Linked DNA regions of Drosophila melanogaster. The gene in region 2 interacts genetically with the main gene of each other region. Each region holds a gene or a part of one and is shown on either strand. Other genes may lie near its edges.

Evidence for each region. Genes that interact genetically often act in the same process or in processes that back each other up.
Region 1: of mspo (region 2) and Pax, changing one suppresses a phenotype caused by changing the other (phenotypic suppression), as found in Drosophila melanogaster (one study listed by BioGRID).

Annotation. Positions count from the first base shown.
Region 1 is NT_033779.5:19,420,958-19,425,973, forward strand, and holds the start of Pax (paxillin), read right to left. Parts: upstream 2,596-5,016; 5' UTR 2,458-2,595; exon of another isoform or gene 2,322-2,457; intron 1-2,321.
Region 2 is NT_033778.4:14,710,887-14,715,902, forward strand, and holds the start of mspo (M-spondin), read right to left. Parts: upstream 2,737-5,016; 5' UTR 2,383-2,736; coding exon 1,926-2,382; intron 1-1,925.

The DNA of each region.
Region 1 (5,016 bases), on a different chromosome or scaffold from region 2:
AGACAGATTTATGGAAGCATAAAAATACCAAAATGAACATGCAGGCCACATTTTAGATTTTCGTTCCAAACAAATAACGACACATTGGAAAAAGGTAAAAAATAATAAACATAAATTCACCGACCGAACACAAAGCGAGCCGGGCCAAAAATACGAGTATCGAGAAGGGAACGGGGAATCAAGGTTGCCAAATTACGTCAACACCAATGATCGCCAACTAAAAATATCCAAAAGAAAAATAAAAAAACAAAAAAAAAAAACATTTCTAGCAAATCAAAGGCGACGTTTCGTCGTCTAACAAAGGGAGGCTAAACTGGGAAAATCGAGCGAAATTAATTGAAAATACGAGAGATTTCCGCAGATCGTTGCCAAAAGGAAGGGCAATAAGAAAATAAAAATCTCACTTTCCTTCCAGGTCTTGGCTATAGTCAAGTCCAAATCCATTTACCTCCACACCTGAGGCATTACTCAGTCCATTTGGGAATGACGTCGGGCCGAAATTGTTGTTCTCGATTCGGTCTTCCTTCTACGAAGTCAAATTCAAAAGTCAAAGGCACAATTTCGTGTTTATTTTGCAGGAAATTCCTAGCGATCTCAATATAAATATTTTATTAGTAAGTAGATAAAATGTGTGTGAATGCGAGTGTTGACCTTGCCGAAGGCGCTAAGGTGAAAACGCAATGCGTGGCCAAACGGAAAAGTGGGTATCAGCCCAGGGAAATTCATTTGTGTGGGTGATACCGATCTCTCTTCACCGCTCAGTGGCCTTTAGCCGGGCCTTTCAATAAACTTGGCCAATTTATGCCGCTGTAAACTGTGCGTGCTTTTCACATTCCACTTCTGTAATAGGTTCGGGAAAAAGCGACGAGCTATCGCCCACTGACTTTTGGGGCCTTTGGGGTCTTGATAAGATATATAGACCCTATATTGGCCAATGGCCTACGTACTGAGCAGATAAAAGGCTTTTCTGGAATTAAATATCAATGTCTTTTGATTGGCTCAATGGAAGCTTAATTGGTTATATTTGTCGATTGCAAACAATTCAATAGTATTGCACTTATTTATTTCAAAATATTTGTGAGCAATGAATCTAACCCAATGTTTTAATTGCACATCAACTCGCTGCTAACAATTAACGATTTCGAAATCTATCGAAGCCACTCATCTTTCGCTAGCAATCGAAACAACACACTCTAATTGAATTTGTATGGCTGGGCGATAAGAATCTTGTTTCCAGTTGAAAGAACAGAAACAAGGAACAACAACAACAAAACACAGAGCAACTCGCTGAGCAAACGAAAATCGAACTCAAACCTGGCGATGAACTCACTGCACTATGAATTACGATGATGGAGAATCCAGAGGTGCTAAGTAGTTGGGGCTTAAAACGAGCTTTTAAACCCAAATAATCCAGAGATCCAGAGTGATCTGTAGATACTTAGTTAGAGGTTTCAAAACGCACAGACAATCGGAGAGACAAAGACAGCAGCTGTCTGGTCGTAAACAAATGGCATCCACTGAACGTATCTGCGAGATACAAAATATTGGGGAGAAAACGAAAGCGATTCTCGTAAGTGCAGAACCCCCCAACAACAAAATATTCATTTGTGCGCACTATGTCAGCCGAGTTTACATCATTCTCCAGCATTTCCATCTGCTGTCGTAACTCGAGATACTTTTACGAGGGGAAGGGGAAGGAAGTCCCCCCCCCCCCCATCGCACTACCACCACCACTCGTGAGAATGCACTTGGCTTCGATTGCTTGAAATATGTGAAAAATGTCATAATTTTAATAGATTAAGTGGGCACAATTTAATTGCTTTTGCTGCCTGTTGTTATGTTTGTTTGGCTATTTCGGTCATTTCCCTCCAGAAAAACACAGAAATACCGAATTAATTTCCATCTCAACACACCCACGATCTTAATCCGTTCGGGGCCCCGAGGCGAAAATTAATGGGGCTAACCAAAATTCTATGCTCTGCCAGATCTGGGCAAATATGTCATATATTCGAATGTCTTGTCCGTTGATAATTAGTTCCATAATTAGTGGAAATGCTAATGAAATTGAAATGTTTTGCGAGCAACGCGCCGAAAAGATTTGCCAAGAGTTAGTGGAATCTTAAGGCGAGTGACACGGATCCATAAATCTTGGCCAGTTTATTATATTATATTATTTTTTTTAGCTAACTGCTTCTGGCATTCCTGCTTTATCGTTTATCTTAGTGCTAGATATCTTTTGATGTTTGTCAACTTTTTTTTTTACTGCAAACTGTTCTTGCACTCGAAGTAAACAATTTCCCACGCTCCAACCTGCCACTAACACGATTCCACTGATTTTCATCAACTTTTTCCCGCCGTAGTTTGCCGTTAAACACTTTTTCGTTGCCTTTTGTTTTGATTAGGCTTGGTTTCTTATATGTATATTCTATCGCGTTATCTGTGCACTTTTGCCTGCACCTTTGGCAGTGTGTTGTCACATATTCTATATATTAATCCCAGAGATCGTAGGACGCCGTTGGGAGACCGCAATCGAGAGACTCCGAAAAACACACGCGCTGCGCTCGCGATTCAGTAAAAGCGTCGCAATCGACTGAAATCCAAAGGGGGGCCCGATGCTGAGGCTCCAATAGACGAGCGCTCCGGCTCTCTCGCAGCTGCTCACGGAGAGCGGGGGAGCAAGAGAGCGAAGCGTTTGAGAGCTGGTAAACAAACTGCACTGCGAAAAAATCTTCTTAGATTTATAGATGTATGGATGTATGGATAGGCATAGTATATTCAAAACGATAGCTTAGCTTCGTAATAGGGGCTATATCTAAAGTAATATATATCTAAAGGAATGTTTAAAAAGTATGTATCAGCGGTTACAGCTTGTGAAACCAGTATTATGATTATTGTTGTTTCTGAGTAAACAACTAATAAACTAGTAAACAAGTAGTAAACTAATTTTGAAAAATCGAATTTAAAAAAAATGTATTTTAAATCAGAGTCCATATTGTCGTATTTTATTTTCAGTGCCAAGAGAGCCAGTTAAAAGAGAGAAAGAGCCCCACCACGTAGCTTTTCACTTGGAGTGGCTTTTCATTTTGGCTTGCGGCCTGCGGCTGAGCATTTCGACCGCAAGTGGGAGGCACAGCGAAAGGAAACCAGAGCGGACGAAAATATTGTCGCCCGATTGGAGCTTTCCTTTGGGTGTGTGAACAGTGGGCCAGCTGCCAAGAAAACCAACCCCTTCGTTGCTGACGAATAAACGAAAACGTGAGTCAAAGGCATCCAATATCAAAACATTTCTGAAACTATCTTCAATTGTACAGACAATCCGCAAGATTAAATGTTTCATAAAATGACAGTGAAAATTGGTATAAACAAAATTCCTCTGGGACAGTCATGTTGGAAATGCTTATCACTTAACAGCTGCTTAGGCTTTACAATTGTTTATCGACAAACATAGAAGATAACTAATTATATACTTTCATGACCATGAACACTGTGATATACATTGATACGATCACAGAAAAGGCAGAAATGGGATCTCAAAAACTCTTTAACCTTTCGTCCCACTGTGCGAACCTTTCCCCGTAACCATAAGCGATCATTGCTCTGCAGTTGGAGTGCTCCCCTCGGCGGAAAACGCCATCGACGCTCAATGCCCAGACAGACCTAACCGATCTCGACAGATCATCTCGTCTTTGCTGTTACAGTGCGCACACGCAACACGAACAGAAGACATTGCGTGTCGAGTGGGCGATGAAGTGGGCGCGCACTCACTAATGGCAGCAAAGCAAGATTGATGCAACTGAGTTGCTGGAGAAGATCAAGATGAAGTTGGAGATGAAGCTGAAGCCTCTACTTCCTGTGCGAAGTAAAGCTTCGAGGGCAGAATATTTATGCTGAGATTTTAAGATCTCGAACGAATTTCAGTATTATAGTTATTATTATATTATTGTAATCTAAAAAGTGATCTGAAATATTATTTGTTATTTAACATGATTTTGCAAAAGCTCTATATGAAAGTTTCTTAAGATCTAGAATCCTACAAGCCCAGCCGATAAGCAAATTTTAGCGGGCTCTTAGACCACTGTGCGTAGGTGTAGGGCAAGTCAGCTGGAATTCTTCATAAGTGTTAGTGGCCTGGCCTTTAGTCATTTCTTAAGAATTTCTGGACACACAACTCTCGGCTGCAGATTTCGTTTTGCTTCACTTTTATATTTTTATCAAAAGACATTCCGAAACAGCGAAGAATTGTGTCATAAAGAAAATAAAGTGAGACGACATGTAGACTTTTATTTCGCTGATGGAGACTAAAAGAGCACTGTGGGGCAGCGAAGAAAGCAAATACAGCCCGGCTGATTAAGCTGCCTCTCTCAGACCAGATCATTCACATGAGTACAAGGGTTTCGAACTTGGGGCTGCAAGAAACCACACCCTCCTTGCTTTCTAGAATTGTAAATGATTTCACACTGGAAGTGCTGAGCGCGATGCTTTTATGTTCGATTCAAGGAATTAGGATTATTCATAAAAGTGCAAGGAATGCGCGAATCGGACCACAGCTATCGCAATAGCCACTTCCCGAATTAAAAGCTCATTCATTTACTTGTGCACTTTGCACATATGTATGTATGTACATAAGTATGTATGTATGTACATATGTATGTATGGACCCATGTACATATGAACGGGTTCAAAGATAAGACGAGCACTTGAAATTCATCATCAAGAATTTTAAAGCACGTAACACAACCATTTTTAATCGTGATTAATGATTGTATGCTTACGATAAGAATTTCGAAAAACAGTAAATATTGAGTTTCAAGAAATATTCAATAATAAATATTTTTGTATATTGGGAAATATATTAAACAAATAACACATCTTGTTCGGTCAATGACTGAAGATCACTCAAAACTTTTTTACATAATAACAATTTCTTAAAACAGAAGTGAATAACAGATTAATAACTAAAAAGATACACAGAACACACGTTGCCATTCAACACGTGAGGTACGTTTTAGCCACTCT
Region 2 (5,016 bases):
CTTACTTTTTTTTGTTTTTTTTTTTGTTCTGTTGCTATCCTTTTGCCCCGCTCTGCTGCTTGAATTTTAATGCCAAATGGCATTCCGGATTCGGCCAGGACTCGTTCTCGGACTAAGGGAACAGTATCAGACCAGCTTCGCATGTGCCGCTGGCCAGGACTAAACGGCTATCAGGGGAAACAAGTTGAGACGCCAGTGACAGGAGTAGCAGGAATTCCAGAATTCCGAGAAGGATATTGTGTCCGGGGGCATTAGTTCATATTTAATGTGAAATGCCTAGTGTTCTGCGAAATGTGTCATGTATATTTTGGTAGTTGATAAGCTTGTTTTAAGGCAAAAACAAATTAACTCTATGGATACCAAGTACTTCGAATATTTCATAGTTGCTATCTTAACAACGATTATTTTTCTTTTGTGTTTATCCCATACAGAAAAAAGTTTCTAAAATAATAATTCACACTATATCAAGCATTCTTAAGGGGAAACCTGAAGAAATTCTCCAAAATAAACGCACACTCTACTGCATTTTAAGTGTTAAGCAGCAAAAACACTCGACTGAATAGCAAAACTATAGTGTAGTTTACGATAAAGTACGGGCACTAGTCCTTTTCGCTATATTTTATGCAAGTATAAGCACAAGTGCAGTGCTCACATAAATCACGCATACGCACTGTGGCACACTGCCTGCCGCAAGAGGAAAAACTATAAATAAGCCAGACGACACTATAAACAACAAGGGAAAGAATGAAGTTTATGGCCCAGAGATGTATAGCTCGTAATGCCCATTTAATTACTCATATGAGAGAGAAAAATATAGAGCGACCATTCTTCACGATAAGCTTTAAAATCAAAACATCAAAAATTCGAATTCCCGGATAAGAATGAGCTATGTGATGGCAGGTCCTTTCCCTCTTATTTATATTGAACAACTTTATCCAATTTCTCGTTTTGCGCTGAGACCAGCACATCGCGCATAAGCACGTACAAATCGCATTTCTTTTCCGCTTCCTGCTTATCCTTTTTTATTTGGCCCTGCATGTGGGCCAGGCTTTGGTTGTTTAGCTGTCAGATTTACTTGTCTCACTGGGTCGTCTGAATATCCTGCAAGCTACCAATGTGAGTGTGGGAGTGTGTGAGCGAGTGAGCGAGTGTGTGTGCCTGTGTGCTATAAATCGACAGCTAAATCTGCAAAAACATTGATAAGACAAGCGACACGCCAATGCGGCCAAAGGCATTTTCCAAACCAAACCAAAGACCCCACTGATTTAACCCAAAATACCAAAACGAACCGAAAATGTTTAGCCAACTTGCTGCGAAATTGCTTTTCGATTTATTTTCCTTACGTATGTAGATGCCCATACATATCCGTGTGTACATATGCATGTCTGACAAATTGGGAGAGAGGTGAGAGGTAAGGCATTGTGACAAATTAGTCTGTGGGCATTTGGTGCCTGGCTGCTGTGCTGGCACAAATTATGAGATCCTTATCCCCATCTCAACGATTGAGTAATCACTGGAGTGGGAGACACACAATGTTTGACCCATTTTGGCTGGGGCATTGGGCCCAATTGGTTTGGATTTGCTTGTTTGAACGAATTTAAAAAAATTGGAAAATCGCAAAATATTTGTACGAAAATTGATGCTGCAATTCTGCTGGAATTCCAATTAGGCGCAAATTAAAGCGTACAAATATTAAAGCATTAAATACGTTTCAATTTATGTTTATAAACCTAAAAAGCTTGCGCTCTTAAATCAGTGCTATATTTCTTTAAAAATCATTATTTTATTATCAAAGTTTATGATCACAAGTTTATGGTTTCTAGATACACAAGCCTAGACCAACTTGCATTTATTTGTTTGGTTAATAGTCTTAAGTAAAACCAAAATTTAAAAACAATTATAATGGTGTCATATGGAGTACTCACCTAATGTCTTGGTCCACTGGGCGGTGGGTCGCCAGTCGGGATAGTGCTTGGGGAAGAGCTCCCGGGTCCAGTAGGTGTGCAAGACGACCTTGTAGACGGCCAGGCGGTCCAGGGTGCAGCCCGTCTGCGGGGCGGGCTGGGTGGCGGGAGGCGTGGCCAGCGAGGCAGTCGGATTCAGATTGGAAACGGGACTGGGATCATCGGTGTAGTAGTAATTACGATTCAGATTGGAATTGGAATTCAGATTGCCGTGCTCAGCGGCAAACTTGATGTTGTTGTCCCTGGACTCGCGTTCATCCGGCTGATTTTCGACACTGTATGCATATATGGATGGGTTCGAAATGAAGGAGGCGCCATAAGCACTAACGGCATTCGCTTTCGAGGATAAGGAGCCGAGAGCCAGAAGGATACACAGCAGCCAGTGAGCCGGAAAGTCTGTTTTCGGTGTCGCTCCCATTTCGTCAAATGTTGCGTGCTAATTCGCTTGCCTTCTGGCGGCTATTTTTGTTTTGATATAATTTATATTTCTCGCTCTTTACTTATCTTTTTTGCTTTTTTTTTGTATTTTGTTTGCCGCTTACACTTCACATTTGCCTTCGGGGGCCGTCGCTTAAAAATAAACGCACACACACACTCGCGGCATTCACATATTTATTTTTGGTTTCTCCAACTTTGTACGCTCTGCGTTTTCTTCACTTTTTGGACTTTTGGCGCGCAGCAAGCTCAATAAATTCGATATGGGTGCGAATGGAGCAAGAACTTGCCACAGATTCTACACAACCGCCCGCGTTGAGAGTTCGTCGCGGACTGAGCAAATGTTGCGGCAGGCAATGAAAACATGGCCCATGGGAGAGAGAACAACGGTGAAGCACTGCAGAAATTGAGAGTGAGAGAGAGAGTGCGGAAATGCGGGAGAATATTAACCATCCTTTGGCAGAGAGAGTAAAGAAATTTCCGTGTTGGGGAAATTCTTATCGTCCAACTGTTGTTGAAGGCGGAGAAAAAAGAAAGAAACAGCCTGTTGAGCTCCCAGCTAACTGGTGTTGCCCGAGGATATTTTTTAGTGCCACTAGGTTGATGTTAAGTTTTATGTTAACTTTTACTGTTCTGTTAACAGCTAGGACTAACATTAAATTATAAAGAGAGTGATAGTTTATTTAATAATCTGACTAATATCTTCTATTTTTATGTCAATTTAGATTTCATTAAAATATAGTTTTTAAGCGTCAATATAAACATACATATAAATATAAACATAAGAGCATTTAACATTACTACTATTACTTATAATTTAATAACCATCAGGAATTTTCTTTTTTTATGTAATAATAAAAGATTTTACTATGTTTCATGATTAATTTGAGTTCCAATAGTTTTTACTGTATTATTTAAGTACTATGTTGATGGATTTTAACCTTCACTTATGCAGTTCAATGACAGAAACTCGAAAATCCCTTATGAGACTGCGAATTTGACTGCCGCCGAACACTTGACTTTTCCCCAGATGAGCGTTAGTTGAACTCCCATTGTTGGCTTAACCCCCAACTGCGATTAACCCCCTGTGATTACCGTGGCTTGTGTGGTGCTTTTCCGCACCACTCCGCTTCTGTTGCTATTATTGTTGTTGTTGTTGTTGTTGTTGTTGCTCTTGTTGCTGGTGATTTCCACAGGCTTAGTCGCATTTATTGCACATTTCCTTTCTGCCAGTTCTGAATGTCAGCGTTAATGAGGCGGGCTTATGTGAATGACGACTATTTACGTATATGTGTGTGTGTGTGCACACATCTATCTCAATCTGCGACTATCAACGAGCATGTGTGTGTGTGTGCGACAGCTCGACTTTTACCATTGTGCTCGAACAATGAGAACAATTTCCGATTAAAACCAATTGAAGCTCTTTAATTGCTACAATTCAATTAAACAACACGCTAATGGCAACACAACGGCCACAACTATCGATTTATTTAGTATGGGGGTGGTGGTCAGCGGTCCGGCATTCTTTCAGAACTCCACTTGAACTCACTGCCGGTAATTGCCATTGACATGTGCTCCCGGTGGCAATTATACCACCCCCACCCCCCCTGGATCCATTGTCCCATCCCTCGGGGAAGCGCAGTCTTCAGGTGGGAGCTTCCCGAAACTTGGACACACACAATTATGTTGCACTTAAATGAGTTGTACGTGTCCTGACCGAATGTCCGTGTCCTGTGTCCTTTATAGATCGTGTCCTGCGATACGCTTGAGTACTTCTCGGCACTCGAAGAAATTAAATTTATTTTTTATCAATCTTGTATAAAATAATATATATTCATTATTCAACTGTATTTAACGAACAGCATGTCTACGTAGTGACGAAAGTCACTATATGTTATCACAGTTAACAAAATTGACTGCTCCTCGTTTTTCCCAGTCTATGTAAATTGTGCGTGCGTGAAATTTATTGCAGTTAATAATAATTGTCCATTCTACTTGAACGACGACCACAACGATAATGTGTAGCCCCAACCACTTGGCCGTGTCTCTAACCGCCTGCGGTCAATTATAAACGGACAGTCCGCCATTTGTCTTAGACATGGTCACTACCAGGTTGTTCAGCTGTCCTTTGGGCCTTTTTATGGGGCTTTAAACGCCGGGCCATTAGTTAAGTGCGTCATACACAAATACACAAGCCCTAATGGAATCCATTCAAATGAGGTGCTAATGCTCGTTTTGTGTAATGTTTGTGACCTAATGCAGGAGAGTTACAATTGACGACTTCGATTTATGGAAATTAATTCCAAATTTATTTTTATGTATTTCTTTTTAAAATAGGTTTAAGATAATATAATATTTACATACTAATTTGTAAAACCATCTTCATGATCGTGAAAAAAACGAATAAATTTTATAATGACACAAACAAAAATGATTTTATTTTATGCGAAAAATTTATAACAATTCTAAGATTAATATTTTAAGCTTATCAACAAAATCAACAAAAATAATCTAAGAGCTCTATAAATTATAATTTATATATAGGTTTTCAATAATGTCGGCATTAACTACTGATGTTTAGAAAACAATGGGAAATTCTCTCCACTGCACAGCGCAT